Alligator mississippiensis: one gene and its partners. The protein of the gene in region 4 interacts with the protein of the main gene of each other region in a pairwise test. Links are inferred from orthologs where the notes say so. Each region holds a gene or a part of one and is shown on either strand. Other genes may lie near its edges.

Region 1 (7,474 bases), on a different chromosome or scaffold from region 4:
AATTAGGCACTGCACCACGGATCTGAGAAAAGCAGTATTTCACGGTCACTGATCATCAGTGCCTGGTTTGGATGGACTGGTTTATATACTCCCTGATTGCATTGGGGATGGCTCTGTAATCTGTATATTAGGTTTCCTGAATGGGATTCACAGCTGAGAGGCTATACTAGGTGTTTTGGAGACAGGGGTGTATGGGGAGGTTGTCTAATGACTAATACAGAAGAGGCAATGAGTAGCCCGAATTGCTGAACTTTGCCACTGAGTTGTTAAAAGACCCAGGCCAGGGGCTTATGGATTAGGACTGGCACCCAGCCTCCCACTGCCTTCCAGTGGCTTTATCTGGCCTCGGCGTCTGCAAATCTGCTTTGGGGAGGAGAGCTCTCTCTAAGCAGCCTGGGAATTTTTCAACTCTTTTCATTCTGTTCATTTTAAACCAGACTGATCTGTCCCTGGTCTGGCTCCCCACGGTTTGTTTTTTTTATAAACAAGCAAGCCAAAAATATGTCCCTTATGGAAACAAATTAAAAAAGCAACCCTGCATGCATTTGGACAGCACCTAGCACACGTGGTTGTGGGCCCAGGATGGGTGTTCCTCGGTACTACCGCAGTATGAACAACACACAAAGAGTTTGCTGCCCAGTGAGAGTGAGCACTGCAAAATCCAAATCGGAAAAATCAAAGAGGAGGAAAGCAATCACCAAAACGTGTATGAAAATAGCTGTGGGCCAGGGCAGTCGCATCATCGCCGGTTCCAAACCTGGCACCATCCCCAAAGCCACCCAGGCCTGACCCCATTTATTAACACAAGGATTTTAGCCAGCGCACCTCCCCGTGCCTCAGTTTCCCGAATTGTTGTGCTGGTTAGTAACACTGACCTCCTTTGCAGAGGTGTTGTGAAGCTTCGTTTATTGATCCCTTCAAAAGAATCCAAGGTCCCCACATGAAAGGCACGGAGGAGGCTTGAAAGGCTCCAAGTATGGGTGTATACTATGAATCAGGGCCTTGCCCTGCATTACAAATGGGCGTAGCCTGTGAAAAACCTTCGTAGATGCCCCAGACCTACCATGGGGCACCGCATAGGAGAGCGCTCTGCCCTGCAGGAAGCATAGGAACGGGCTATACAAAAGACACAAGTCCTAAAATGTTACCTCATTCTCCATCCTCTGTAAGACACCAGTACAGGTAGCCTTAAACAAGTCGTATAAATGCAAAGTAAAGCCGGTATGGGACTCTGGCAGTGGTATCCTGCCAGTCAGTTTGGGGAGCTGAGACACAAACCATCCAGAAAGCTACTAGGACCTGCTACTGTTCCCCACTGCCCTTCTCAGACACGGATACCCAGCAACTCAAGACAGGTACAGCAATGCCTGAAAACAACACCGAAAAAAATCAAACAAGCTCGTGTTTCAGACAAGTGCAAACAGGAGCGAATCCCAGCAAGAGCCAAGAATAACAGGGAGAGGGAGGGCGGGACCTGGCGGGAACATGGTTGGCAACGGGTCATGAAAAGTGGGTGCAGCGAGGTGCGAAGGAAGTGGAAGACAGAAGAGCGAGAGTGGGTTTTCCCTGCGTTGTCTTCTGCGGAAAAACAGCCCTTTGAAAGCAGCAGGCCCTGAAACAGGGCAGCTCCAGAGATGCACTTAAGCCCTTGCTTATCCAGGTCTAGTTATCACCCTGCTCCAAGGCAGGCAACGCCCAAGGGGGGCCGGTTATGACGGTGCGGGAGTCTGCTACGGCCTGCAGAGGCTGGACGGGGTAGGCAGGCTCCCCTGCTCTCCAGATCAGACGCCCAGCTTCTCACCGCAAATATGAGGCTGACTTAAAAGCCATGCCATTGTATAAACCGCTTCATGTTGGGGTTCTTCACCCAGCTGCCTTTGGGATGCATCTCTGCACGTCATCACTTGACTCCAGGAGCTGGGGCTTTACCAAAAACAGAACCAGCTTTGGGTGCCATTGGTTACGATGCCAGCGACAACCTGAAACAGTGCTCCCATGATTGCTACTAATGAAGGAGCTGAATTAGCCATGGTGGACAAAGGCAGAGAACAGACGTTACCCAACTTGCTGGAGGGCCCTGATCCTGCTGAGGAACCATGTGGGTAGCTTACGTGGGCACAAGCATCTCCTCGTGTTGCGTTTGCAAGACCAGGGCAGGGTCATCTCGGTGAGGAGCGAGCACCAGGCCGGATCCTTGAACACAGTTACGCTGGAGCCTGTCCAGACTAGCTGTACTCAGCTCCGAGGTGCTTGGGATTTACATCAGTGTAACCGAGATCAGACTCTAAGCCCTTAATTCACTTGCACTGCCTACCGAGGCCCAGACTCTATTAGCACCAGTGACCGCAGAGCGATGGAAGCTAAATTGCCTTTCCCTGAGCCAAGTTGCCGCGTGCTTTTTTTTCTTCTCCCCTTTCTCAAGCACTAAGAAAGGCTCTGCGGATTTTCCCCTCGTACACGCGAGTGCAGACTTACTCCACCTGGAACATTTGTTAATCACCTTGAGATCTGCCGGGGCTGCTGCTGGAAAAGAGCAGCTCAGCTGAGGAAGCCAGGAGGTGAAGGGAGGAAAATTCAATCTTTTCTCCCTTAATAAGATTTGCTCTGTAAAAAATGGCATTGGCCTTTCGTACACCGGGAGCTGGAGTCCATGCAGGGAGGGCTCGCTGTCCCACTAATAAAAGCCTGGTATTTAGAAATTGCTGAAGGGGCCTCTTGCTCACATCCATTAAACAAAACATCGTCTGGGCTGGGTTCCTCACAGTCGAGAGCTCCTGCTCTTCAGGAAGAGGCTAAAAAGGGTTGAAACCCAGAGCTGGAAGTCTGCGATTGCAGAGAAGGGCACTTTGGTGTCTAGGAATCCTTCCTCCTTATCGAGGGAGCAGCTGTGCTGCTTTCCAATGGGCTCTCCCTAGCCCCACGTCCCTTTGCATGGGCACAATTCATGCCATGAAGCTCATTTCAGGACTCGGACCCAAAGTTTAGACCGTTCAGACCAAGGGCCGTGGTTCCAGCTGTGCTAGGGACCAGCTGCACACTACAGACCTGAGCCCTCACTTCTCGCGGTTTGGAGAGCTCTAATAAATATATTTATTTATTATGAGACACTAAAAGGACAATCCCATCCCAAAGCAAAACCCCCTTTTTATTATAAAATGAAACTAAGCAAGTCTTCGGGCTGGCCTGTCCTTTCACTCCCTAGCTATAAACCAGGAGCGATTCCATTGATATCAATGGAGCGAAATCAGAGCTGAGATGGTACAAGTGCCTGTCGGTCTCTGAAAGCCGCCCAAGGACACAGGGGCCTTTGCAATGCCTGCATCTGCACCTAGTGGAGATGCAACTGCTGGTTTATCACAAACATGCGGGTACCTTTCAAAGGGGTTTTCATTGAAACAAGAAGCAAACCGTTCTATTTGATCTGAATCAAGAGGAAACAGCGTAGGTGTCTTCACGTTTTCTATCCTCCTCCTGTTTTCTAGCAGTGAGAAAAAAACAGGGAAAGAGCATAGGGAAGAGAGACGAAGCGTCTCCAAATTCCTATTCCTTTTATTTCAATTAAATATTTTTCTTAAATTTCATTTGGGTAAAAAGGTGAAAATTAAACAGGGAAAAAAAATGCTCAACCCTTTAAATGATTAATCTTTTCAATTCGCCCTGCAAAGTGTTTCCAGTTGTGACCATCAAGGTCTGAAACACGGCACATCTAGTCACCATCCAGACCCACTGCAAAGCCCTTTTATTGGGGTGAATATGGGTGGCAAGCTGGTATATATGGAAGAGAGAGTCTTCTCCATGACTGCAATGCAATAAGGTGGACGGGGGCTTTGCTTTTAAGGTCTGTTGGTCACACGATCGACGGTCACATATTCCACTGAAAAGTAAGTGGCCACCCATGCTTTGGTTCATGTTTACTCTGTTTCTCCCACGTCCTCCTGGCTGCTAAGTTCATCGCTGGGACACCTAAAACTGTGGACGGCTCCAACTTGAATCATACCAACATCTCAAACACGTGACAAGGGTCAATCACGCGCAGCGTGATCCATTCCCCTTCCTCTCCCTCCACCGCTCAGCCTGCTGAACCTTGGAGATCCCAGCTTAATGCATGTTATTCTCCATATTAATTTTAATTATGGCCCTAATTATTTTTGTGCATGGGCATGACCCACTTACCAAGCCCATGTTGTGGATCTCACGCCTGCCAACCCTGCCTACCTCTCCATTCCCGACGGCGAGAAGCAATTAGGGACGACACAAGCGGCAGAACTGGTTGCTGTGGCTTAATGAAAGTTATTTTTTTTAATCCTCATGTGTATAAACAACCCTTCCCCCTCGCCAAAAACCTGGTTAGACAGGAAGGTTCCTGGGTGGGGACTGCATGAAATAATTGCCAGCACAGCTGTAAAGTCTCATCTTTTGGTTACGTCTCTCTCTGCCTCAACCCAGCACAATTCAGGTGTTCTCCTCCCCCTCCCAGTACGTCCAGGTGTGTCATTTAGCAGAGCCTTGCCTCCAATCCACCTCCCTTCCTTGCGGAGAGACAACTGGCAAGGTTAATTCAGAAAGAAGAGCCAGTGGAGAGACCTACCCTCTTCTCAGGGGCTGAGGAAGGAGCGAGGGTGAGAGAACAAGCGGTGGAGAAGAGCCAGCTTGGTCTGCCGTGCAATGGAAACGGGGAGCGCAGCCAGGACAAACGGCACCGCTGTGAAACAAGAGGATGCGAAGAGCCAGTCCAGCCCGAAGAAAAATGGAGAGGAAGCCAAGAAGCCCACCAGCCCCAGCAGGGGAGAGGAGACGGTGAAGAGCACTGGGGGCTCGTCTCTGGAGACAGGGCAAGTGAAGAGCTCTCTCTTCCCTGGCGGGGAATGGAAGAGGCCCATCATCCAGCTGGTGGAGTCCGCCGATGAGAAGCGGTCAAGCTACTTCAGCATGGACTCGGGGGACACCAAGAAGTTGCCGTACTCGGGAGTGCAGCTGGGAGACTTCAAGAAGCCCCCGTTCTCGTTCACAGAAAAGGGGGACTTCAAGAAACCCTTCCTGGCAGCAGAGCTGAAGAAGAACTTCTTGGCCACTGATGGGGAAGGAAGGAAGCCACTGTTTCCTAGCTCGCAGTTTGGGGACCTGAAGAAGCCGTCTCTCCCTTTTGTAGAGACCGGGGACCTGAGGAAACTAAACTTCAACAGGCCTGAGCGTGTGGCTGGGTCAAGGCCCAGGGTGAAGCTGGAAGATGTCTTGTGCGACTCCTGCATCGACAACAAGCAGAAGGCCGTGAAGTCCTGCCTGGTGTGCCAGGCTTCCTTCTGCGACCTGCATCTCAAGCCCCATCTGGAGGGTGCCGCTTTCCGGGATCACCAGCTGCTGGACCCCATCAGGGACTTTGAGGCGAGGAAGTGCCCGGTGCACGGGAAGACCATGGAGCTGTTTTGTCAGACAGACCAGATGTGCATCTGCTACCTCTGCATGTTCCAGGAGCACAAGAACCACAGCACGGTGACGGTGGAGGTCGAGAAAGCAGGGAAAGAGGTAATGCTCCTGGCTGCCCTTTCCTATTCTTCTTTCCCTTGATTCAGTACTAGGTCACTGCCTTTCTGCTCTCTCCCCGTGACTCTGCGGGGAGGCCAAGGGTGCAAGGCACAGCAATCTTGCACGGACTTTGACGGGGCACTGACTTTGGGTATGGCAGTTTGGCATTCGGGGGTCCGGTCCCTGTTGTTCTTGCTCCATACTTGGGAAAGGCAATTTAGACCTGTCATGGGTATGGGCATGGAGGAGGGTCTGAAGGTGGGTAAGGTGAAAACAAGGCATTAAAAAAAGCCAGGATTGCTTCTGCCAAGCAAAATGGTGGTGCAAACGGTGGTGGCAATGTTTCTGGGCTCATTTACCTATTGAGATGATAATGTTGAACCCCAACTATGGAAAGCCTTGCTTGACGCTGTGTTGGGGAAGGTAACAAATGCGCTGGAGTGGGACTGAAAGGTGCAGAAGCTCACAGGGCTGCAGTTTTAATGGAAAGGCAGTCTGCCGAAGAGTGTAGTACCACCAGGCTAAAGACAGACACTCTGGCCTTTGATTTGTTTGTCTGCTGCTTGCTTTCTGGACGTGGGTATTGTTGCTATTACAAGAGCAGTCTCCAGATGGACCGGGGCCCTCTTGTACTAGGTGCTGTATAGGTGTTGTGAGTTTGAGAGACAAGGCAGAAAGAAGAGATCACCCTTCCCCATTTTACAGGTTGGCACAAGTAGGTCAAGGTTGCATACAGCCTGCGGCAGAATCCGGAGGTGGCGCCAGATCTCCCAAATACCATCGGCGTGCCTCCACCCACCAACCCATCCATTTTGTGTGTGTTGTTAGATCCTCCAACGCCACGGCGAGTAGATGATGATACAGATGCCTGTACGGGCAGAACGACCAGTTCTTCAGTAACCCCAAATACAGACATGTGATTTAATCCTTCCCAGGGCCGAAGGGAAGGAAATCCCTAAACCTTCTCAGCGAGGGCCAGAGTAGCAGCTTCCTAAATGAATCTCAAACCGTCAGCCATGGTAGGGAGGAAGCAGAGTGGCTGCCCAATTTCCATGCCCTCTTGCTCCCGTTCCCAGTATACTGTCCTCGTCTGGCTGCTCTTTGCACCCAGCTTTGTTATAACTTGCTCTGTATCTCTGCAACTCTCTGCATAAAGAAGCCCCCATTGAAATCCCTGCAGGGCTTATTTCTTCTGCAGTTAATTTCATGCCTCCTCGTTCACAAGTTTCACGCCAGCTCAAGCAGCTTGGTAGCATCTGCCTTGCATCCATCCCCTTAAATATTGCATCTAATCTCTGCAAGACCCTCTCTTAAATCTGTCTTTTCCAAAAAATACAAGCCACCATTTGTTCCTCTAACTCATGGTTAATTCCTGCCTCCAAATGACACAAGACTTGCTGCCTGCAAACAGGGAGCAGGGTAGAGAAAAAAATAAGCTGTTGCTGGAAACTTATCCAGGGCTTCCTTTGATGTCTGCTCTCTTTACATTCTTTCTTGGCTCTCATTAATATAGCACCCAAGCCCCAGAGGGATCCCAGATGCATTCCTGAAAGGTGTTATTTCTCCTGCTTCTAAGCCTGAGGGGTCTGGGGCTTTATCAGTATGAATCACACACGCACGCGTTACTCTAGACTGCAGCGCCTGGTCACGTCACAACTTGAGGGAGTTAGCTTGTTCGGAAGTCAAGTTGCATAGCTGCTTGACTGGACATTAGGAAGAACTTCTTCACAGTTCGAGTGGCCAAGGTCTGGAACGGGCTCCCAAGGGAGGTGGTGCTCTCCCCTACCCTGGGGGTCTTCAAGAGGAGGTTGGACATGCATCTAGCTGGGGTCATCTAGACCCAGCACTCTTTCCTGCCTATGCAGGGGGTCGGACTCGATGATCTATCGAGGTCCCTTCCGACCCTAACATCTATGAATCTATGCCATCCACTCATGCAGGCTTGGCCCGG
Region 2 (7,445 bases), on a different chromosome or scaffold from region 4:
AGAGCAGGGGGCAGCTCACAGCACCCTCCCGCTCATCATTTATCATAGTGGGACCCAGGTTTTTGGGACCAATGATTGGTTGGATATAAGGTGTAAAAGGTTGAGAACTACTGATATACTTCACTTGGCTGGGCCCCAGCAGAGTCAATAGTATTTCAAGACATGATAACTCCACAGCCCAGCACTGCTCAGTGTTTGTGTGTGTACTCCAGATCCCCCCCAACAAAGGATTCATCTGCTAATAAGCACCTCCCCACCCCCACTTGTGACTGGAAGTAGGTGTTCTTGTCACAAGTCCTGAAACCCTCCAAAAATTTACATGCAGATGGAGTGCAGGGCTGCTTGGTCCATCTCTACCCCCGTGCTGATTGGGGGCGGGGGGGGGGATCATTTCTTATATTTAAATAATTATAGGACCTCTTGTTAGGAAAATAAAAAATAGCTGAAAGCCTGTCAAATAGCATTTATCTGTGTCAAATAGTCACCCTCACTTTGTTATTTCAGCAGCTTCAAGTCAGTAGTCTGACTCCAACCTATATTACACAAGGTAGCATGAGTGAAATACATATAAGGGTACAATAGATCAGAGCCGGTGAGAAGGCCTGTTGTCATAATATGGCAGGATGAAATGTTCAATCCCTTGTTTTCCTGAAAAGCAAATTCACTCCTTGCTCCTTTTTTAAGAGCTCTGTTAAAATCCCAAATTTACAAATAAAAATAAAGTGTTTCAGTATTTACCTATAGGTAAACCCAATACGTGATCTGGCGATGGAAGTCGAAACCTGAAACGCCTGGTATCATGGCTGATCTCCTAGCGATAAACAGAGAGACAAAGACCTGAGTATTATAACAATTCATAGAGCAGTGCAGCATTGCTTTGGCTTTGGAAAACAGCACAATAAGCTTCAGTAGTGAATCTACTCTCCATTTACATACAAGCCAACTTTGAGACATGAAGTACAACTGGTCTGACAGCAATCTGCCTGATCAAGACTTTCAAACCTAGTTATAAAGAACTTGATACTAAAGACTCCACTAACCCACAGTGAAAATGGGAAGTGAATTTTGCCTAAGTAAAAAAAGGCTACACGAATGAACCAAACCTCTTTAGCCCCTCTATCATCATTGTATACTGGACACATTTCCTGATGTATGGTAGGATTTCCAGCAAGACAGGACATGTAAAGGCACAGCCTTCCTCAAGACAAATTTGCAACTCCAGTTTCTCACATATATAAAATTAAAGGTTAGGATCTGTATAGCCAAATAAACTAACCCAACCATTTGTAAAAGCTAGCTGAATATTAATGTAGGCATAATATTTTAGGAACCAAATTAATATAGTAGGCTGCTTGCAGAAGTGGAACCCCCCCCCCCCCCCCGCCAAAAAAAAAAAAACAACCCACAAAAACGGTGCTTTACTTTGAACTTGGTACATCCCCGCACCGAGCCCAGCACATGCCCGGAAGAGGCATCGTATTAGCTGAACCCGGCTTTCCCAATGTCTGTATAGATCAGGCACTTTAGTGGGCTTTTTTGGCACTTTTATCTAATAGCTGATTGGATCAGCTATTAAAGTGCCAAAAAGCACCGCTGAAGCATCTGATCTATACAGACACTTCAGAGCTCAGTCGAAGTAATAAGCTGCTGCTTCTGGTAAAACAGGTTTTTCATTTTTTTTCCCCCACATCTGTCAGCACCTGTAATGTCTGGGGAAAAAGATTCCAAGATGCTTCAGCTTTACCCCACAAATGTATTATAAACATTTGGAAAATAGAGGATCCTACGCTAAGTGATGCAACTTTAGAAACATGCATAGAGAATAAAAAGGTTACCTGGCCTCCTCAGGCCCTGCTTTCCCTACCAGTAAGTAAGAGAGGAATATTAATATTAAGCTTCTCATAGAGCATACTAAAGCATGTGCAATTAAACACTAGCCCAAACTGACAACAGCAACATCCGCCTTGAACTTTGGAGTGCCAGCTTTAAAATCTGACCTTGGAGCTGAACCTAGAGCACAGCTGTCCACCACCCCCATCCTGTCCCCCCTTGGGACTTTGAGCTTGCTGGTTTTGAAATCTGTGGCTTGAATGTATGTCTATAACAGTCAGTGAAGCGCTCTCTGGTTTTTCGGTGGAAGATGGTCAAGATGATTAGCTTGTAGTAAGCCAGCTGCTCAAGCAGTTCCCCAATACCACTTGACCCTGCCCCTTGGTTCATTCCAACCCGTAGGACTTTGATCAGTGTCAGAGGCAAGAACAGACCCCAAATCTCAATGTCAGCCCCATGCTCTCGCCGCTCGGCTGCATCCCCTCCCCAAGACGGTGTGGACTGTCTTGTGATCAGAGTCACACAAGACAGTCCTAAAAGGAGGCCTAAAGCAGGGCCCCTGGCATGTGGGCCAGAGCGCGGCACGTGAAGGCATTTTGCTTGGCACTCGAGCCGCAACAAGGAGCCGGCCCCTCACGGCTCCCCTGCCCCTGGCACGCCAACATTATAAAAGTTGAGGCCGCGGGTGTTTTTGGCACTGCCCAAAACCGCTGCCAACCCCTGGCCTAAAAGAAGAGCCTGCTCACCTCTTTCTCCACCAGGGCCAGCGGATACTTGGCATTGGGATCCCTCAGCGCAATGGGGGCGCGCGTCCTCGCCGCCTTGAAGACGAGCAGCAAGACCGAGGCGCCCACGACCACCGCCGCAACGAGCACGGACACCTCCTGGGGACAGCGGGGCAGGAAGGGCCGTGAGGGTGCCGGGATCGCCTCGGGGGTGCATGGGCACGGGCCCTCCGGGCGCCAGGCGGGGCTGGCAGGCAGAGGCAGAAGGGCAAAAGCTGAGGCTGCGCCGGGCGAGGCACCGCTCCCGACACCCCGCTCGGGGCTCCCGCCGCCCGCCCGCGCCCCGCTCACTGCGCTCAGCTCCATCGCGGCCGGCTCCGTGCTGGGGGCGGCCCAGGCGGCCGGGCTCGCGGCGCCACGACACTAGACGAGACCGCACGCCGCGTCTGCCGCTCGCCCCCGGCGCCTCTCTCCGCCGCCCTTCTCCTCGTGCCTTCTCTTCTACCGGCACCTGCTGCCTCCCCTCCCGCCCCGCTTTTCTTCTTTTTCATCTTTCCCTTTGTCACCGTTTGAGGTAAAGGGCTGCTGTTAATGAAACCGAGGTACGCGGGAGATTAACGCCGTGTGTGTGTGTGTGTGTGTGTGTGTGTGTGTGTGTGTGTGTGTACACACACACAAAATGCAAAATCTAGAAGTCTTGATTCAGAGATGATACCTTTTATTAGACCGACTAAGACATTGCAAAAAAAAAATAAAAAAATCTGCAAGCATTTGGGCTCTCACACATGTATACACGCACACGGGCCTGTGTGCGTATGTATGTATATAAAAATGTGTGTGTGTATATTTATTTATATGTCAGTATACGTGTGTATAAATACACATATACACACACACAGATGCATATAAATATACACATATAGGCACATAAATACACATATATGCATCTGTATACATGTGTATATATATGTGTGTGTGTGTTTATGTCTGTGTACGTGTGTTTGTGTGTATTTGTGTGTGTATATGTGTATACATATTTGTGTGGGGGGGAGGTGTATAATAAAGTTATACAGTGTAGCTGTACTACTTAAATTTCACATCACAGTAATTGATTTGTAGTGTACATATAACTATACACACACACACACACACACCTGTAGACTTAATTTTTTTTTAATGTAAATGAAACAACTCATGGAAGTAATTTTATTTTTTTTTAACAAAGTTGCTCTACACCCACATATATATATATATACACACACACACACACACACACACACCCCCCATACATGCATACACACTCCAACACCCAGAAACTAACCCAACCATTTGTAAGATCTAATAGAATATTAATGCTTGCATAATATTTTAAGAACCTAATTAATGGTAAAGGCCAGGCAAAATAGATTCCAAGATTCTTCAGTTTTAAGCGTCAGATGTCCCACAGATGTGTTATAAATATTTGGGTAATGGGAGACTGTTAATTTTGGGTGTCCAAAGACCTGATATTCAAAAATTATTGTTGCAGTTTATTTAACATTTCATCTGTTCAGATCACTACTGTCCCTGACTTTCAGTGCTGCTGCGATTCAGACACGAAGTGTTTCAAGTTGGCTGTACAGAAAACGAGGAAAATACATTGGTTGAGGGTGAAAAGCTTGATTTAAATTACTAGACTTACACTGAATCACTGCTTGCAGTGTCTGAGCTAGCTGGTGTATCGCTACAGGGTGGTGCACTGTGGTAGGTTAGATATATTCTAGATATAAGGGAAGGGATGCCGAGAAAACTTCCCATTGTGTGTGTAATTATGAGCATCAGTACAAGACAACATAAAGCACAGAACCCCCCAGCCGCGTTAATTCTTCACTTTGCAGTGAGCAAGCTTGTAAAGATATTGAAAAAAAATCATTCAATTCCCTTGCAAGTGAGAAGTGTTGATTACAAAAGAGAAATACAACCATCCTGTTTCTCAAACCCCTCATTTTCATAGTTTCTATTATCTTTACTTCCTTGTTCCCTCTGTGTTCTCTCACCTGACTGAAAAGCAAGAGATTTAACATCAACATACTGGTCAATATCCCCATTTCTCAGACTGCCAGAGGACAGAGCTGTGCTCTGGAAGATTCCCTGGCTTACATATAGTCAAAAAGCCTGAGGTTGAATCGATTCAGTCTTTGCAGGTTAGTCTAAGCTGCACAGGTTAAAGTGACACAGAAGTGAACATAGGCAGACAAGGTTCCTTGGGTGAATTTGATATCTTTTATTAGACCAACCCAAATAGGTGGAGAATATTTATTAAGCAAGCTTTCGGGTTCAAAAACCCTTCGTCAGGCTAAGGAAGTTTCAGCAGTTGGTGTGTGCTCTTCCTGGATGGAATGAAAAGCAAACAAGCCAGGGGCTGGGCTGGGCTGGGGAGTCAGTTGCCAGGCAGATTATAACGTATCAAAAATCCAATGTCTATATTTAGCCCATGATCTCTAGTATCTAGGAGATCTGGGAAGTGTTGTGTAAATTTTCCTGGAGGATCAGGACTGAGAGATTGGAGAGAGAGTGGCCCTCCTGTGAGAAATGTGCCCCCACAGGTAATTGCGTATTTCTGTCTTTGATGGATTTCCGGTGTGCATTCATTCTGGTGTGCAGTTGTTGTCTGGTCTCTCCTACATATTTTCCATCAGGGCATTTGGTGCATTGGATGAGGTATACTACATTTCTGGAGGTGCAGCTGTAAGATCCTGGGATGCTGATGGCTCTGTTGTGGGGTGTAGTAATAGTGGGGGTGGTGGAGATGTGTTGGCAGGTTTTGCATTTCTTGTCCTGGCATGGTCTGGATCCTTTTGGTGTGTTCTGGGCTTGAGGAAGCTTGCTTCTGGTGATGAGGTTGGCGAAGTTCGGTGCTTGTTTAAAGGCTAGGATGGGTGGCTCTGGGAAGATCTTTTTTAAGAATAGGGTCTCTGTCTAGTATGGGTTGCAATTTTTTGAGGATTTTCCGTACAGGTTCAAGGAAGGGGTGATACGTCATAACTAGCGGTGTGCGATTTGTGGGGGGTTTTCTTCTGTTTTCTTCTGGGCAGCAGTTCTTCACATGGTATCCAGGTGGCTCTTTCAAATGTGCGATTTACCTCTCTGGACAAGTGTCCTTGTTAGGTGAAAGCCTTTTTAAGATTGGTGAGGTGGCAATCCCGGGTGTTCTCTTCAGTACAAATGCGGTGGTATCTGAGGGCTTGGCTGTATATCACAGCTTTTTTGGTGTGTTTAGGGTGATTGCTGGTTCTGTGCAGATATGTATGTTGGTCTGTGGGTTTCTTGTATACTGTAGTCTGTATTTTACCCTTCTGGATACTGATCATTGTGTCTAAAAAGGAGATGTTGGTGCTGGAGTATTCTAAAGAAAGTCGGATGGAGGGATGGTGACTGTTGAATTTCTGATGGAACTCAATCAGAGATTGCAGGTTCTCAGTCCAAATGATGAAGATGTCATCGATGTATCTTAAGTACAGCAAGGGTTTGATGGTGCAGTTCTTGAGGAAGTCTTCTTCCAGGTGGCTCATAAAAAGGTTGGCATACTGTGGGGCCATTTTAGTGCCCATAGCTGTTCCCATCATCTGGAGGAAGTGTTGATTATTAAAAGTGAAATTGTTGTGTGTGAGGATGAAGTGTATAAGGTCAGTAATATCTTTGGGTCTGTATTCTGAGTTGTAATCTTGTTCCTGTAGATATGTAAGGCAGGCTTGGATGCCATCCTGGTGTGGGATGTTGGTATATAGGCTGGTAACGTTCATGGTGGCTAGGAGTGTGTTGCTGGGAAAGTGGTCTATGTTTTTAAGTTTCCGTAGAAAGTCTGTAGTGTCTTGTACAAAACTTGCTCTGTGGGTGACAAGCGGTTCTAGGATTGATTCAACGAAACCTGATATTTCCTCAGTTAGGGTCCCATGGTTGGATATGATAGGTCTGCCAGGGTTCCCTTGTTTGTGGAGTTTAGGGAGCATGTAAAAAGTCCCCGGGTTAGGTAGCGGGGGGATCAAGGTCTGTAGTTTTTCTTGTAGTCTTGATGGAAATGATTTGATGGTATTTTTGAGTTTTTTGGTGAAAAGGGGAGTAGGATCTTCTTGTAGTTCTTTGTAGTAGGTGGTGTCAGAGAGCTGTCTCTTGGCTTCCTTTATGTAATCCTCACCGTTTAGGATGACTATGGCTCCTCCTTTATCTGCTGGTTTTATTACTATTTGGTGGTTAGATCTTAGTGATTCTATGGCCTTTTTCTCTGGTAGAAAGACGTTGTTGTGGTGGCGTGTGTTGCTGATTATTTCATTGTTCATTCTTTCCCTGAAGCAGTCAATGTAGCTGTCAAAGTTAGGGTTTCATCCACTGCGAGGTGTCCAATCTGATGTTTTTTTGGGCTTTTTGGCATTGATCCTTTCCTGAATGTTGTCAGAGGATGAGTTGTTGTTGGGAGTGGGTTCAGTTTGGTCATGGAAATATTCTTTGAGGCGTAGACATCGGAAGAATTCTTCTAGTTCTCCACATTGAAGTATTTTGTTAGGGTATTTTTCTGGACAGAAATTTAGGCCTTTAGAAAGGACAGATTTTTCAGTTTTGGTAAGCATGTGTGTGGAGAGATCTATAATATTTGTGGGTTGGTTGCTGCTTTCAGTTTCATCGAGTCTGAGGTTGGAATGTTGTAAGGTGTTGGTGTTGTTCCTCTGATGGTTGTTTTGTGGTTGGGGAGCTTGTTCTTGGGGTAATTTGTTCCATTTCTTCTTTTTATGTAGGATGAATGCTGTAGAAAGTTTTTCGTAGTCTCTTTGTATCCACTTTATATTGTCAGGGAACATGCATGGATTTCTGTCTTTTAAGTTGTTGTAGTATACGGTGATTTCCTTCCTGAGTTGG
Region 3 (7,506 bases), on a different chromosome or scaffold from region 4:
AGCCGGGTCCAGGCTAGACGATATCCCGAGCCCTGAGCTCCCCACCGTGCCCTGGAATCCAGTCCTTAGCTGTGACGAGAGAGAGCTGCTGCAGAGAGACCCCTCTCTGAGCTAGAGACACCCCCTCCCTGGCCACAGCCCCCCAAAAGTGGGGCAGGGCAAGCCAGCAGGCTCCTTGCCCCTCAGCGGGCTGGGGACGCCCATGCTCGCACCCCTCCCATCTCCCGGAGCTGGGGCTTGTTCTGTCCCCTGATGCAGGAATAAGAGCAGGGCCAAGCTGCCCACCCCAGGCCAAGGCACCGATGCCCTGGGAGTCTCTGTAGGTAGATACCCCCTCCCTCTCATTTGGGGTCCAGCAGCTGCATCTCTGGCCATCCCGTCACTGCTGGCTGCTGTCTCCCTCAGGACAGAGGCCGGGGGGGTGGGACCCCTCGATGCCAGCGCTCCTCCCTCCGTGCTTCCAGCTGTTTTGCTCCAGCCCAGTCTTCCTCCAGGTCAGGGCTCCAGTCTTCCTCCCCCAGCAATTTCTGCTCCCTGGGGCTGGCAGCCCCTTTGCACCTCCCCTCTGCTTTGGGGCCCCCAGGCCAATGGGGGCCAGGGGAGGCCCCCGAGAAGATGCAAGAGAGGCTGCACCGGGGCAGCCTTGGCCCCCACCCTCTCCCCCTGCGCCAGCGAGGGGGGCGCAGCCCGGCCCCGATCCGTGATCCGTGCCCGCTGTCGTTGTGTCCCCGGCTTGCTGCAGCTCGACCCGGCGGGGCAGTGCCTGCTCTGCCACAGAATAAACCCACTGGATGCCCGAGCCTGCCCTGTCTTCCTTGCGGGTGCCCAGGGATGCCCGGCCTGGCCCAGCCCAGCCCAGGCCAGGGAGGGGGGACCGGGCTCCATTGTGACATCGCGGCCCGGGCAGCTCCGCCTAGACACCGGTGCTGGCTGCTGCGCCCGGAGCCAAGTGAGTGCATCGCAGCCGCCTCCTCCGGGCCTAGGGAGCGGGGCGATGCCCACCTGCCTGCTCCATGGCAGTGCCCCCCAGGCTGGGGGAACTGCGCCCCCCCTCCCCGGCTGGTGCCCACTGGGGTTTGCCCCCAGCTTTGTGCGGGCCAGGGAGTGCATGGGCCAAGCCAACCCATGCCAGGTAGAGGAGGGCACATGGCCCCTCACACAGCACGTGCACATGAGGTTGTGGCACATCACAGCGGCACATGTGCCACGCCGTGCTGCACGTGGAGGTTGTGACCTCAATGCCCAAGGGGCAGGGGTCATGCCAGGCTGCAGGCCCCTCCCTGCAGCAGGGCGGAGCGGGGAGCAGCTGGACCCCTGGCGTCACCCTCCTGGGGGTGGAGGCCAGGGCTGAGGCTGTCCCGGGCGCTTTCCCATTGCCGCCTGCCCCATTCCTGGCCCGTAACGCAGAAGGGAGGGAAATGCCGGGTTAATTGCATCCTGCCTAATTATCCCAGTGTGCGCAGACTGAGTCACTGCCCGCCAGCGCCCCACGTCAGCCCTGGGGACCAGCCCTCAGCGGGTGGCGTCCCGCCCGATCCATGTTGCTCTGGGTCTGTGCACGGGGCTCCTCCTACGGCCCCGGTATGCCCCAGCCCACAGAGCCCCAGGGGTGACCGGCCCGTTGCCACAGACCCACCAGGCAAAGCCGGCTGAGAAGGGCCTGCCCTGTCTCGCTTGTGAGGACCTGGTTGCTGCAGGGGACAGATGCCTAAGTGCCCTGTGACCTCTCCCCCCAACCTGTCTGTTTGCACCATCCCAGTCAGCCCTGCCCTGTGTCCCAGACAAATCCCTGCCTCTCCTTGTAGGGTCCCGTCCCATGCTCATCGCCCTGGTGCAGGAAGGTCCCAGGGGCACCGGGTCCCCGTGGCCTGGGGGATGGGGCAGGCCTTCCCCTGCTCTCAGCAGGTGCTGGATCAGGATCGGAGCAGCCTGCCATCCGGTGACTCAGACCCTGCATCTGTTGCCTGGCTGCTTCAGCGCCCAGAGGCCCTGCTGCCTGTCCCGGCTCCGTCCCATTGCCCTGTCCCCAGAACATCGCCCCAGCCCTCCTCGCTGCCTTACACCTCCCTCCAGGCCCTCCAAACCTTGGTCTCCCCTGCCTCCAGCCCCCGGTGCCTCTGGTTACCCGTGCCCCCCACCCTCTGTGGCAGTGCCCTCTTTCTGTGGGTGCAGGGCCCCGCTGGATTGGGCCCGGTGTGCACTGTGCTGCCCCTTTAAGCTCCCCGGGCTGGCATGCCAGAGGCGTGCTCCAGCGCCCAGTGAGGTCAGATAAGACACTATATTTATCTAGCCGGTAACCTGAGCTGAGAATTTCTTCAGCGGCTCACGCAGCGGCTCAGCCCTCGGCCCATTCCAGCCTGGTCCCCAGCAGAGCCGTCTGCGCAGACATCCCGTCCTGTCCCGCAAACAGGTTAGTAGCCATCGGGTTTCTGCTTGCGCGCCAGAGCCAGCACCTCACTGATCCCGACGTGACCCCGTCCCGGCTGCTCCGGTGTCGCCCCATGACAAACCGTGACCCTCCGGCCCTGCTCGTCCACACGCAGGTGCGTACGGGCCCGCTCGGGGCTTACGGGACTAATTCTGGGGCCCCGAGAGGCAGAGAAAGTTCAGGGAAGACTTAGCCAAGTTCACTGCTGCCTGGAAAGGAAGATGCTGAGCAGCCCGGGGAGGACATGGCAGCAGCTCCTGGCACCCATCCTTTGCTTGTTCTTTGTCGTTCGACCCAAAACCAAGCATCCTCCACTCGCCTACACAGCCCGCTGGGCACAAAACTGGCCTGCTTGTCGTCCAGTCCCACCAAGTCCCCCTTGGCCATTGGGTGTCAGTCCATGCCACGCAGTGGGTTTGACCGGGCTGTGGAGAGCTTGGGCAGGGGGCTGGCTGCGTCGGGCATTGAGAGCCAGCTTGGACTTTCAGCAGCGGAGGTTGGTGCCCTCTGATTGCTGCTAGGCAGCAGGTGACCTGAGTTGGTAGGTCTCGGCTTGGGACCCAGGGGACAGACCGGAAAGCCGCCCCTGGAAGTGCTGCTAAATAGAGCAGAGAAGGGCTTTGAAAGCTGGGGCCTTGGCCAGCTCTGTGATACGTGTGGGTGGGAGAAGGCCCATTGCCACCCAAGAGGGGAGCCATGGGGATTTGGGCACCTTGCACGCAGGGAGCAGAGCTGGGGCTCCAGGGCAGGAGCTCATCCTGTGTCTCCTGGCTCCAGCTCCAGAAGATAGTTGTGGATCTGGCCCCACAACACAGACCACGTGCAGTCTGTGCCCACCCCCCAGTCATGCCAGCAGGGCCAGCAGGTGATTTGCACTGAGCCCCGGAGGAGTTAAGGTGCCTGGCTGATCCGCTGATAGGCAGCGTCCCCTGGGCCATGGAGCTTCTCGTGCAAGGGAAACGTGCAGGCAGCTCCCAGCCCCCAGATAACCCCACGGGCTGCAAGGAATTCCTGGCATAACAGACCTCGCGGCCCGGCAGCAAACAGGCCCTTCCCCTCGCGACCCTCGGAGAGGGGCATTCCCTCTCCCCGAGCCTGGAGGCCTGGGTGGAGTGGGTCCATGAGGGGTTCAATTTGGTGTCCCACCCTGCTAAGAGCTTCGCCGGGCCCCCTCTCATCCCAGCCCCCAGCAGCCGTCCGCTGGTCGGAGGTGACCCTGCCCCGGGAGGCAGCGGATGCCCCGTGGTGCTGGGTACGGCTTGTTGAGATCTAGGGTAACCTCCAGGCTGGGACATTGTGTCTCTGAGGCTTTGACTCCGCTTTAGCACCTGGGTAAGCAAGAAATGCCTGTGCCGTGATGGCTCTAGCGCGCAAGCAAGCACTGGGGCTGGGTAAGCCAAGTCCATGGGGACAGTGTCGGTGCAGGGAGCAGAGCAGCATCCCCCGGCAAGGTTACCGGGGTGGGGACAGAGCTCTGGCACCGTGGCCCAGGCACTATTGCCAGCAGGTTTGGGAAGGCACAGGGTCCCCTCCGTCATGCCCAGCCAACCGGCTCAGTGACCGCCCTCGTGTGCAGCCCAGCACCTCCAGGCCAGCTCTGCAACCTCCTGGAGCACTTGGGGGTTGTCTGAGGGGACCAGGCCTCTCTCCTCACCCAGAGGTGGAGCCAAGCCCCTGCCTGTCTCACAGAAGGCATCTCTGGGCTGCCAGGCCTTGGCACACTTTCCTGCCTTGAAGCTTCAGCTCCAGACTACTCAAGAGGGAACGGGGCAGTCTAGTGGTGAGGGCTGAGAGCCAAGACTCCTGGGTCCCATTCCCAGGCTCGCCTCTCCCTCGCCACATGACTGTGGACCGGATGTGTCTGTGCCTCAGCTTCTCCATCTGCACAATGGGACTAATGACAGAGCGGCAGCCTCCCAGGGAGGGTGGAGGCCTGCCTGAGTCACTGGGGCCTGCTGCGGCCTTTGAAGTCCCAGGTGCTATAAAAGCACCGAGAATTATTCCAGAGAGAAGCTGGGCTGGTCGGGATCCTCCCACCTCGAGGTCTCAGGACAGGTGTCTGGTCTCTTGCAGTCCTGGGGCCCAGGATGGTGTGACACAGCCCGGGACGCTCCGCGGAGCAGGCAGCTGGCACAAAAGTGGCGATCTTAGATGGTAAGCGGTGAGGGGCCCTCCCGACACGGGGCAGAGGCACAGGAGTGCCTGGGGACAGGGCACTGGCACATGATCGATGTCCTCAGATGTAGCCTGACGCTGGGGCTTGGCCTCTGTGGTCTTGCAACATGTTCTGGCTGATACCTCCCCCGTCCCCCATAGCTTTGAGCTCATATTATGTTTCTTGGAAATGAATTTCCACAGCTGCTTGTTTCACCCCAGAGGTGGCTGCCTCGGTCCTGGCTGGGGGGCTGTCAGGAGAGGTGCTTTCTGCGTCAGCGGGGGGACACGGTCATCAGGGGGAGAGTCCAGCCCTGCGTGTGGCTCATGAGAGAAGGGGCCCTGTTGCAAGACGGGCACTGTGTGGGGGGAAGAGGGACTCGGAGAAGTGGGGCTATGGGGTGGGCACTGAACTGGGGCTGGTCTGTGCCAGGACTGGGCCCTGCAGCTGCCCTGGCACCAGGGAGCCTGCTCTGGGCTAGGCTCCGGGGCAGCCCAGAGGGTGTCTGTGCTGAGCTCACCTGCTGCTGAAAGGGGCCGGGAGCTGCGTGGCCTGTGCCCCGTGAGCAGTCCCCATACACCCAGTACCCGTTGGGTCGTGCCACCCTTCAACGCGGCTCCTACTTGCCTACAAACCAAGCCCCTGCCATGCCAAGGGCAGCGGGGCTGGGGCATCAGCTCCTGCTGATGGAGGGAGGGAGCAGCCTCGCCCCAGGTGGATTATTCACCCCAGCGGCCTCCTCCCCAAACAGGTCTGTGTGCTCGGGCTGGCTTTGCCGGCTCAGCGTTCCCGACCCACTCAGGGATGATTGTTTCCTCGAGAGGACGGGATCCCAGCCCGATGCTGGCGCAGCCCAGAGGCCCAGACAGAAAATCCCTGGGGCGTGGGCAGGGGCTGAGACACTGCTGTCCTGGGCCTGAGCAGCCGAGGCACGAGCGTGGTTAGCATAGCCTCCCCGGGACCCGTGACCTCCCTCCAGCGGCTTCCGATTTCACGTGGATCGCTTTCACCCGCCCGCCTGCCAGTGGAAAATCCAAAGCTCCTGCACCGCGATGGGGCCCGAGGGCCATGCACGGCCCCCATGACCCGAGCCCCTGCGCCTGGGGGGCCTCGGCCCCTGCTGGGGGGCATCATTAGGGCACAGACAGGGGCCTGGGCTGCTAGTGCTGCTAGTGCTGACAACTCTGGGTGGCTGAGCCGGACCCAGGTGGACCCGGCATCCTTGGACTGTGGGGCAGGACTCGGGCTGCCTGGGAGAGCAGGCGGAGGCCAAACCCGGTGCTCCCCGGCCGGCGTGGCTGCAGGGGGTTGGGGCTCAGGACCTCTGGAGCTCCCCCTGGCTCTGCATACTGCAGCCGAGGCCCCTGCACATCTCTGCCTGCTCCGTCAGGGCCTTGCTATGTGTCCCCAGCTGCTGACCTCACTGCCCTGGGGCTTGTGGCTGTGTCACCGGCACCGTGGCATGTGGGTCAGCAAGGCTCCGGGGATGGGTGGCGTAGCAGATGCTTGGAGATCCCCAGCAGTGAGGCACGGCGGGTGTGGGTCAGCCTGCCCTCGACCGTGGCCCCTGTGCCAGCGGCAGGCAGCGCGCCGCACAGCCGCTCCAGCCAGCGAGTGTGTGCCAGCCCCGCCCTGGCACCCGGCCAAGCGTGCCGAAATCCCGCCCAGCCATGCCGGGGAAGGGTTTTGAATCAGGGTCGTTGCCTTGGTGACCGGAGACTCTCGGAGCCATGCGAGCCGCTGTCCTGAAAGTGTGGGGAAGCGAGCGGCGGGCCCACAGGACTGTCCAGGGGCTTCCCCGGCACCAGGTAATGTCCCTAGGTCCCTTGGGGACCAGCCAGAGCCCAGGCCTGGGAGCCCTGACCCTGCCCCATGCCAGCGGCTGCCCCTCCGCATGGAGCTGCACCAGCAACAAACTTTCCTCCCAGTTGCAGCCCAGCGGGTGCCCAGGTGCGCCCCCCTGCATCTCACCTGGGGTCTGTTGGGAAGTGGGAGTGGGGGGGGGTGCTCTTGAGAGCAGTGCTTGTGACCCACCAGGCTCTGTTGCGGCGGGGGCAGGGGGTGGGGAGCTGGCCAAGGGGGTGCCCTGGGCACCCCCTCTGGCATGCAGTAGTGCTTCTGCCTTCAGGGCACTGCCCAGGGCTACGGACACCAGTAGGACTCCAAACTCCTCGGTGCTGTTGCTAGCTCTGCTACTGACTCATTGGCTGGCCTTGGGCATGGCACTTACCCCACCCTGGGTCCAAACTTGACTGACTGCCTGTAGTGGGCACTTCCAGCCATGGGTGTGATGCCCCCCAGGGGCATCTCCCCCCCCCCCACATCCATCCCATAGGTGCCCAGAGGTGAGGCTGGCACCAGGAGTCTTGGCCTGGCGTCTTTGCTCTCCTGTGCTGCCTCTGGTTGGCCCCCAGTCTAGCCCAGTAACACCCTTCCCCCCTCCCATCCCAGAGCTCTTGAATTGGGTCAGGTCTTCCCCCACCCCCAGCCCTTTCTTGCAGCAGCCTGGAGCAGAGCTGGCAGCTCCTGAATAGCCCCGGCCTCTGCTTCTGGAATACCAAGGTCCCGAGGCCGGCAGGGGAGGGGGCATTCCCATGCTCAGCCGCTCCAACAGGGCATCCCGTGGGCATCACAGTAGCATGCTCCAGCCGGAAGCGCGCTTGCGGGGCTGAATTATTGATGGGGCAGCAGCGTCCCTGGGCAGATCAGGTGTAGCGTGGCTGGGAGCAGGTGGCAGGGCCTCGCTGTGGCCCTGATCCTTAGTCTTCCCATGGTTTCCCATCACCCTTCCTTCTCTCTGCCCCCCTGCACTCCCAGGTCCAGTCCTTCGCTCTGTTGTCTTCCTCTGACCACAGTGGGGCACGAGGGGGTCCAGCTCCCGGTCTCTGCTGCACGTGCCGGTCAGGCTGTGGGGAGGGGAACT
Region 4 (7,807 bases):
GCTCACCGAGGGCCAGGCACCCCCCGAGCCCAGGGGAGGGAGCAGTGGCCCCAGCAGGCGCGGAGCCCTCGGGGCAGGGAGGGAGCTCGTACCGGCGCGGGAATGGCCGCAGCGCCGCGCCGCGCTCCCCGGGCTCGCGGGCATCCAGGGCTGCCCGCGCGGTCTCCCCGCCGCTTTGCATGCTGGGAGCTGTAGGGGCTGCTGGGACTTGTAGTTAGTGGCGGCTTGACGCCGCTTTGAATACCGGGAGCTGGTGGCCCGTCGCCTGGGGAGCCGACTGTAGGGACATGTAGGCTGTGGAGGCCTGGCGCCGCTCGGCCCGCTGGGGCTTGTAGTTTCTTGACCTTGCCTGGGGCTGGCAGGGCGGGGCGCGGAGGGTTTCTTGCAGCCTGTCTAGGGGCTGGCAGGCATGTTGGCCTGGTGAACCGCTGCCAGGGCCTGGATTCTCCTCTGGAAGAAGGGGGAAGGCTCGAGCTTGCTCCTTCCCTGTCACTTGCGTTTAGGGTCCTGGAATAAGCACAGGATAGAAGCAATGGGCTGAATTCAGGGGCGGATCTGGTGGGGGGCAGTTGCGCCCCCCTTCCCTTTGATTTCTGCTCTACCCAAACTGTAACACCACCTGCCTGGGAGGGGCAGTGGCATTTTGGGTCAGGCAGCACTGAGTTAATTGACTTCAGCGCTCATGATCATCTACCTGTTTCCTGCTAATGTCTCTTCATCCCATAGGTGTGAACGACCTTTTTAATGGTCTTGATGTTCCACTGTGCAACCTATGTTTTCTTCTGCAATGCTGCAGTCTGTTTGCCATTCCTGGTCCTGTGTCTCTTCTATTTCACAGCGCTGTAGATTGGTTTTAGCTCTGGCTAAAAACCTTCACTTAGGTGTGGTTATATAATCTCAGGTGTAGACATGACCCCCAGTGAAGTGCTGAGGTGCTGTCAAGGCACTCAGGAAAACCAGGTTTTGTTCAGTGAATCTAAAAAGACATGGACATTTAACTTTCAGGACTAATTAAAAAGCATCTTTTAACCTTTTTTGCCTCATTTCTTGTGTTCTTTTTAAAGCGTTATATATAACCCAGCAGATTAATGCACATTCCAATACAGATTTGTTTGTTTTCACTTTGATCTTAAACTGAAAAATAGAGCACGAGGCCCCTAGCAAACTAGTAAAGCTTCTGATTTCTCTTTAGCTGGAGAAAAATAGATGTTATATGTGATGATGCGATGCACCAGCTACACCCCCCTTTTTAAAATCCTAGATCTACCCCTGGTTGTAATGGTGCAGTCCTTGTGATGTGTCCAGCACTACTACAGTATATATAACATGCACTGAAAGAACCTGCTAGGAGAGATTAGAGATGTAACCAGCCTGCATGCAATCTCTCCTAGCAGGGGGTATTAGATAGAAACCCTCACTGTCTGCCTTGTGACAAAAACCACATTGCTTGAGTATTGCAGAACCAGCCTGCATCCAATCATCATGAGCGTAGGCAGAAACACTACACAGACTGAGATGGTCACACAGTCGTGCAGATCTTTTCCATCTTTATCTTGCATGATCTTTATCTTGCATTCAGCTTCCTTTTATAAACAGCTCCCACTCCGATTTAATTTTGAAAAGGTTCTGTACTCTGCCATCTCTAAATCACCTTCAGTTAGCAAAATATACCAAAGATAAGATAAGGCCTGGTACTAGACGTGTAACTGTGGCTGTTTGGGTAATAGTTATTATCACAGAATCATAGAGAAGTAGGGCTGGGAGGCGCCTCCAGAAGTCATCTAGTCCAACGCCCTGCCTGAGGCAGGCTCAGCCCTATCCAAACCATATATTTGAGTCCGCTGTCTAACCTCTTATTTGTTCAGAGCTAAGACGTTATGCGAGTCTCACACAATGAAGTAAAAGATTTAAGATTTCTGAAGTGCAAGACACAAGAGTTATTTTTCAAAGTATGCAAAATCCTACTGACTGCTATTACAAATCAAGTTTAAAGTTTACATATTAAGGAAGAACAGGATCAAGAATGTGAAGATGAGCTCGTAAACTCACCTGTACATGTTACTTGCTTCTCAGTGAATTCAGAGAGCTTTACAACATCCATTGATGTATAACTGGGAGAGAGACCCAGAAGCAATTATTTCATTAATCCTCCAAAACCATGCAACTTGTAGGAAGAAACACTGTGGGGGGCTATGTATCTGTTGTCTAACTCTTCATGTCTACAGAGCTGGCATGAGCACAGCAGAAACAGAGAAAGCTGGAAAATTACATCATAGTAGTTTGACAGCTCTTCAAGCATTTTTCTTGACACTTGAGGCTTGTGTCAAGTGTTTATTCTTACACTTCAAAATTTGAGTTGCTCTAATAAAAAATACCAGATTTACCCAAAGAACTTTGTCTCCCTATGTCCTTAAATCAACACAGCTACAACCTATACCCCTGTTACATGTAACAATACTTATCATTTAGGTAGTGCTCATCTTGGTGTGCTTGACTAACATTCCCTGCACAAATAATTAGTCTTCATCACATAAGTGAAGCAGGATAAATCGATTGATATGAACATACTATTTGCTAGCTTCCCTGAGAAATTTTAAAACAAAAATCAAGAAGACAACCTGTCCTGTGGTATCTATTTCATTTTTAAATTTCTCAAGGCTTAGAAAATATACCTGTATCCAAGCACTTTGTTTTTAACAAAATTCATTTTTTGTAACTTATTGTATTCTACCAAAGTATTTCTATATATTAACTTTGACCTGGAAGGCTACAAAAATACTTTATAAACAGCTGATATACAAATGACATATTTTACCCACCACTGAAATGCAGCAACCTCTGGTGTAAAATACAAAGATCTATTTAACAGCACAAAGTAACACCCCCACAACAGTTAATAGTAAAAAATATTTATTTCCATTGGAAACAGCATCCGAAACTTTAGCTGGTGCAGATTATAACTATCCAAATAATTATGAGGACAGGACACCTGGGTTAAAATTCCAATTCTTACAAACATACCATAACTGTTGTTTTTTTCAAAGTGGTCAAAACCTAAATATTGCATTTCATCCAAAAGGCAGCATCTCTTTAAGCACAAAATCCTTTAATAGGCTTGAGAAGCTGACTCAGAACTGAGTCTCAAAGGAAAAGAGTGCCATCATCACCACCCTTCATACAGCACACGCACCATACCATGTCTGACTGGATTCAATGGTGACTTAGAAGAAAGGGAAACACCTGCTGCAATACCACCACTTGCAGCCCTTGAGCATTCCTCTGAAATCTTATGCCCAAGTTTAACCCTGGTGGAACACACATCTCAACATCCCAACTGGACAAAATGTCCAATACAGGCAAATACTAAAAAAACAGCAGCTGGCTGAAGGAGAACCAAAGTTTAAAATGAGTCACATTTCTCAGTGCTTGAAAACCTGAACCACACCCAATTATACAGATGTTTACATTCCTGTTCTCACTAGTGCTTCTCAATTTCTTCTTGCAATACAAACCCAGGGCAAGACAAGAAAACCATTTGCACTGCACTAGGCACATGTCAGGAAGAGCTTCCTTCCTGTCTTTACCCCGGTATAACTGTGTGAGCATACCGCATGTGCAGTGGTGACACTCATCTTTCTCTGAAACATTACCCCTGAGGAAATGCTGGAGGCAGTGATAACAGATTCAACGGACTACTGACCTGATCTGGCCTACTCCGCTTAAAGGAAATAAGCTAAAGGAGGGAGGTCCAAGAATTCAAGATTCAATCCAGAAAAAAAAGCAACATCCTCCACACACCATGAATCCCAGAGGCAGGGCTCAAGCATGATAGAGAAACCTAGAGAGATTTGACAAGACTGGATAAACACCAGGTTAAATTTGTAAGGCACAACTGTTTCCTGGAGAAATTAGCCCGGCACACAGCTAAGAATCACAAAGGGTGGGACCTCCAGAGACCATCTAGTCCAGCCATTCACAAACTCTGAGAGATTGCGCACCGCTAATTTAAAACGATGCAACCTTCAGTACCACCGGCACATTTTTCAGTTCAACCTTACGTACCATCAGCAAATTTTGTCGGATAAAGTAATGATAATAAATCTGTTAACACGTACCGCTGACAGGTGGTCTGCGTATCACTGGTGGCACCCATACCACAAATTGGGAACCGCTGATCTGGTCCAAACCCCGCCTGAGGCAGGATGAGTCCTGTCCAAACCATCCTATACCACCCACCACCTCAACCCCACAACCCTAACACTGTACGAGGCGACCCCTGAACCTGCTTCATATCCCAAAGGCCCAAGGGAGAGACCTGGGCAGACGGGGCAGAGATATGCTGCACAGATCCCAGGCAGAGGTGTGACTGTGTCCCCTCACGAGCTCACCACCGCCATGAAGCAGGATGAGGCCTGGGTGTGTCTCCCCCCCAGCCCTGCCTTTCTCCTGGCAACAAATATGGCATATTTCCTTCAGGACCTGGAGGCATTTTGCCAGCAACCCCCTTTTGAGCCCTGTGACAGGTGCCTTTTCCTAAACAAGGAGCAGGGGGTGGCCGGAGTCCCCGCGCCAGGGGAGGCCCGAGGAGGAGCCCAAGGCTGAGAGCACACCACACCGCGGGACGAAAGAAGCGGGCCGCACGCATGCGCACGCACTAGGGAGGGGAAGGGGAACGCCAGCGCGCATGCGCACGGGGCAAGGGAGGGAAGGCGCGCACGCGCACGCGAGCGGGAGAGGCGGCGCGCACGCGCATGCGCACGCGCGCGGGGGCGGGCACCGCCTGCCTGGTTCCTGGTGCCTGGTGTCTGGTGCCGGGCGGAGCCTGCCCCCGCTGACGTGGCGGCCATGGCGGACGGCGGCAGCCGGCAGAGCAAGCTGGCCGCGGCCAAGAAGAAGGTAACGCCCCCACCCCCCGCTCCGGCCCCCTCCTCGGGCACCGGTGACCTTGGCCGAGCGGGCGGGGCCGCACCAGCCCCTCCCCCCGCGGCGGCGGCTGTCACCGGGCCCCCCCCCCCCCATTTAAACCTCTGTTCCTCGAGCCACCTCGGCCTCCCCTCCCCCCCCGGGCCGGGCCTCGCCCCCCCCCCCCCCGGGCCTGGTCCCCGGGTGACGCGCCTCCCCCGCAGCTGAAGGAGTTCCAGCAGAAGAACAGCCCCGGGCCCGTGGCCGCGGCCAAGAAGAAGCGCAAGAACAAGGAGGGCAGCCGGCCCGACACGCCGACCGGTGCCGACGACAGGGACAGGCCGTCGCCCGAGAACGTGAGTGTCCCGCGCTTGCCCGGTTGCGTCGTGATACACACCGGGGACGGATGGGGTCCGCACCCCGCAGCCGCTAACGGGACCCGGCGCCACGGGCTGGGGCCGGGTCCGCTGGCGAAGCCGTTCTTGACTCCAGAGTGCGCAGTGTGGATTTCATAGATTTCATAGACATCGGGGGCTGGAAGGGACTCGTGAGATCGAGTCCAGCCCCCACCACCCTGCCATGGGCAGGAAGTCAGCTGGGATCAAGTGACCCCAGCAAGAAAAACATTGACATGGATGTGAGGGGTCGGGGCACACGAGCAGTGAAGGGACTGGGCTTGTTTGGCCTGGAGAAGGGAAGATGAGGGGTGAGAGCCGCCTTGGACTCCCTGAAGCGGGGGTAACGAAGAGGATGGCGGTTCTCAGGAGTGGCAGATGACAGGACGAGGAGCAAGGGTCTCAAGTTGCAGCAAGGGACATTCAGGTTAGCGATGAGGGAGCACTTTGTCACTAGGAGAGTGGTAAAGCACTGGAACAGGCTACCCAGAGAGGTGGTGAAATCTCCATCCTTAGAGATTTTGTAGACCCAGGTAGACAAAGCCCTGGCTAGGATGATCTAGTTGGGGCTGGTTCTGCTTTGAGCAGGAGATTGGACTAGATCTGACCTCCTGAGGTCCCCTCCAGCCCTCATTTTCTAAGATTGATCCTATGTTTCGACATCCATTTCGGTAAAGGGAGAGTGAATGCAAGGTCCTTTGGTTGCAGCCCACCTTTTGATTGGTGTCTCACTCTGTCTTTCTGAGCCATTTCTCTTTCCACTTTCTTTCACTTCCTTTAGATTCAGAACATACTGAAGGTGCTGGTGTCAGACCTTAATCGATCCAATGGGGTAGCCATACCCTCATTGGACAAGAGGAAGGTGAGGCAGTGTTCGGCATCCCTCTGACTAGTTTGCTGTCCTTACTGCATGCTTCAAGTTCTCTTTAAACTGCCTCTCGATTTTTTTGGATGAAGCTTCATTCAGGCATATTTGTTGTCAGTTGCTTGAGTTTTGTTGCTGTTTTCATTAACCTTGAGCTTTTTTTTCCTTTTAATGTGCCTCTTTGTTGCTCCTACTTGTGTGTTTCCTTCTGATTTGTGTCACGTTTAAAACGCAAAGATGTGAAATGTACCAGCTTCCCTTAAGATAGACTTGTGAGATCAGGCAGTTTGGAATTGTATCGGGGATCCTGGGTGATGGTATGAGTAGTAAACACCTCGCCACTCCTTTTCCCCATACACTTTGTTCCCACAAAGATGCGGCATGGGGCATATAAAAACATTGTTCAAACTGGGCCACAGACTGGGTTTATTTTCTAGATCTGTGATCTTCCTGTTTGCATGTCGCTGTTTTATTTATTAGTGCCTCATCTCTGAAGGACATGTTCTTGCTCATCTCTAATCAAGCAGTTGCCCTAAGTAAACTGTGTAGTTATTCCAGCCAGCTCATTTTGTGACAGGTGATGAAATTTGCACACGTGATGCAATCTGGCAAGTAGCATGGTTTTAAATCTGTCTAGGCAGGAAGTCAGATACTTTGTAGCAAGTGTTAACTAGCTCTAATGTCTTCATGTTGCCTGTAGTTCTGGCAGCAAAGGGACTGGGAAGATTCTTATCTATAATAAAATACAAGTATGAGAGAGCAAGCTTCTACCAGCCTTTTAATTTTCAACATGTTTCATAAAAGTAGTCTCATAAATTAAAGAAGGTTAAAATGTTGATAGAAACACAGAAAATGCAAAATAAAACATGATGATTCAGGAAGTACTTAGTTCTTGCTTTCCTAAAACCTCAATTACCTATCAACTTGTATAGTGTCCACAACTCTCTTCACCTTAAGCTTTCAAGTCCAGCATATCATTATACCTGCCTTGCATCCTTTTCTTTTTGCTCTACCCATAGATATAACTATGTTAATCACCAGGTGGAGTAGAGGACTCTGCTGTGAAACCTGCATGATGTGATAGATAAAATAAGACTTTCAGTAGTTTTCCTTGCATATTAATGCAGCAGCTCTCCCATCAGAGACTTGCAGTGCCTGGCACAAAGCTCTTGCAAGTGGGGTATTTCTGTGGGATGTTATATGGGAGAGCAGCGCTAGCATGGTAAGAGCACTTGACAGGTGCTTTCCTGTGGGGTTGAATGCAGCACGTTGGAAATATAATTTATATTAAGCTTATCAGATGGACACATCAGAAAGAGAATTGATGCTTGTTCAAGGACAGGTTGAGGTAGGATGTACGAATAATTTTTCTGTGTCAGTGGCTAATCTCAAAATGAGGGCCTAATCCATACCTGCTGTGTTTGTGCTGTTGTGAATATGGAAACGTTACTCTTCCATTAGTCTTCATGTCCCAAGTGCCTTTCTCTGCTTTCTTTGCATGCACCAGTGCATTTTGGACTGAGTAGCTGTTACAGATTTTCATCCTGGAGGCTGCAGATAACAATGCCCAGGGCCTCAGACTGATTTCCAAGTTGCTCTCTCTCTCATTACAGACTATACTTCGAATTTCTCTTCCCAGTTGTCT

Evidence for each region.
Region 1: the proteins of GOLGA2 (region 4) and TRIM29 interact in binary tests that used the Homo sapiens proteins (3 or more experiments, as listed by UniProt). The two-hybrid records come from large-scale screens. The link is inferred for Alligator mississippiensis from reciprocal best matches to the Homo sapiens genes GOLGA2 and TRIM29.
Region 2: the proteins of GOLGA2 (region 4) and NADH-cytochrome b5 reductase 2 interact in binary tests that used the Homo sapiens proteins (3 or more experiments, as listed by UniProt). The two-hybrid records come from large-scale screens. The link is inferred for Alligator mississippiensis from reciprocal best matches to the Homo sapiens genes GOLGA2 and CYB5R2.
Region 3: the proteins of GOLGA2 (region 4) and USP2 interact in binary tests that used the Homo sapiens proteins (3 or more experiments, as listed by UniProt). The two-hybrid records come from large-scale screens. The link is inferred for Alligator mississippiensis from reciprocal best matches to the Homo sapiens genes GOLGA2 and USP2.

The regions. Positions count from the first base shown.
Region 1 is NC_081839.1:30,574,473-30,581,946, forward strand, and holds the start of TRIM29 (tripartite motif-containing protein 29), read left to right. Parts: upstream 1-4,467; 5' UTR 4,468-4,665; coding exon 4,666-5,523; intron 5,524-7,474.
Region 2 is NC_081825.1:202,271,760-202,279,204, reverse strand, and holds the start of NADH-cytochrome b5 reductase 2, read right to left. Parts: upstream 3,011-7,445; 5' UTR 2,922-3,010; coding exon 2,577-2,921; intron 812-2,576; coding exon 739-811; intron 1-738. UniProt on the Homo sapiens protein: NADH-cytochrome b5 reductases are involved in desaturation and elongation of fatty acids, cholesterol biosynthesis, drug metabolism, and, in erythrocyte, methemoglobin reduction.
Region 3 is NC_081839.1:31,067,013-31,074,518, forward strand, and holds the start of USP2 (ubiquitin carboxyl-terminal hydrolase 2), read left to right. Parts: upstream 1-4,498; 5' UTR 4,499-4,582; intron 4,583-6,306; exon of another isoform or gene 6,307-6,391; intron 6,392-7,506. UniProt on the Homo sapiens protein: Hydrolase that deubiquitinates polyubiquitinated target proteins such as MDM2, MDM4 and CCND1. Isoform 1 and isoform 4 possess both ubiquitin-specific peptidase and isopeptidase activities.
Region 4 is NC_081835.1:57,572,682-57,580,488, forward strand, and holds the start of GOLGA2 (golgin subfamily A member 2), read left to right. Parts: upstream 1-4,797; 5' UTR 4,798-4,845; coding exon 4,846-4,896; intron 4,897-5,126; coding exon 5,127-5,258; intron 5,259-6,078; coding exon 6,079-6,159; intron 6,160-7,807. Other genes in the region: DNA repair protein SWI5 homolog, read right to left, coding at 93-181. UniProt on the Homo sapiens protein: Peripheral membrane component of the cis-Golgi stack that acts as a membrane skeleton that maintains the structure of the Golgi apparatus, and as a vesicle thether that facilitates vesicle fusion to the Golgi membrane.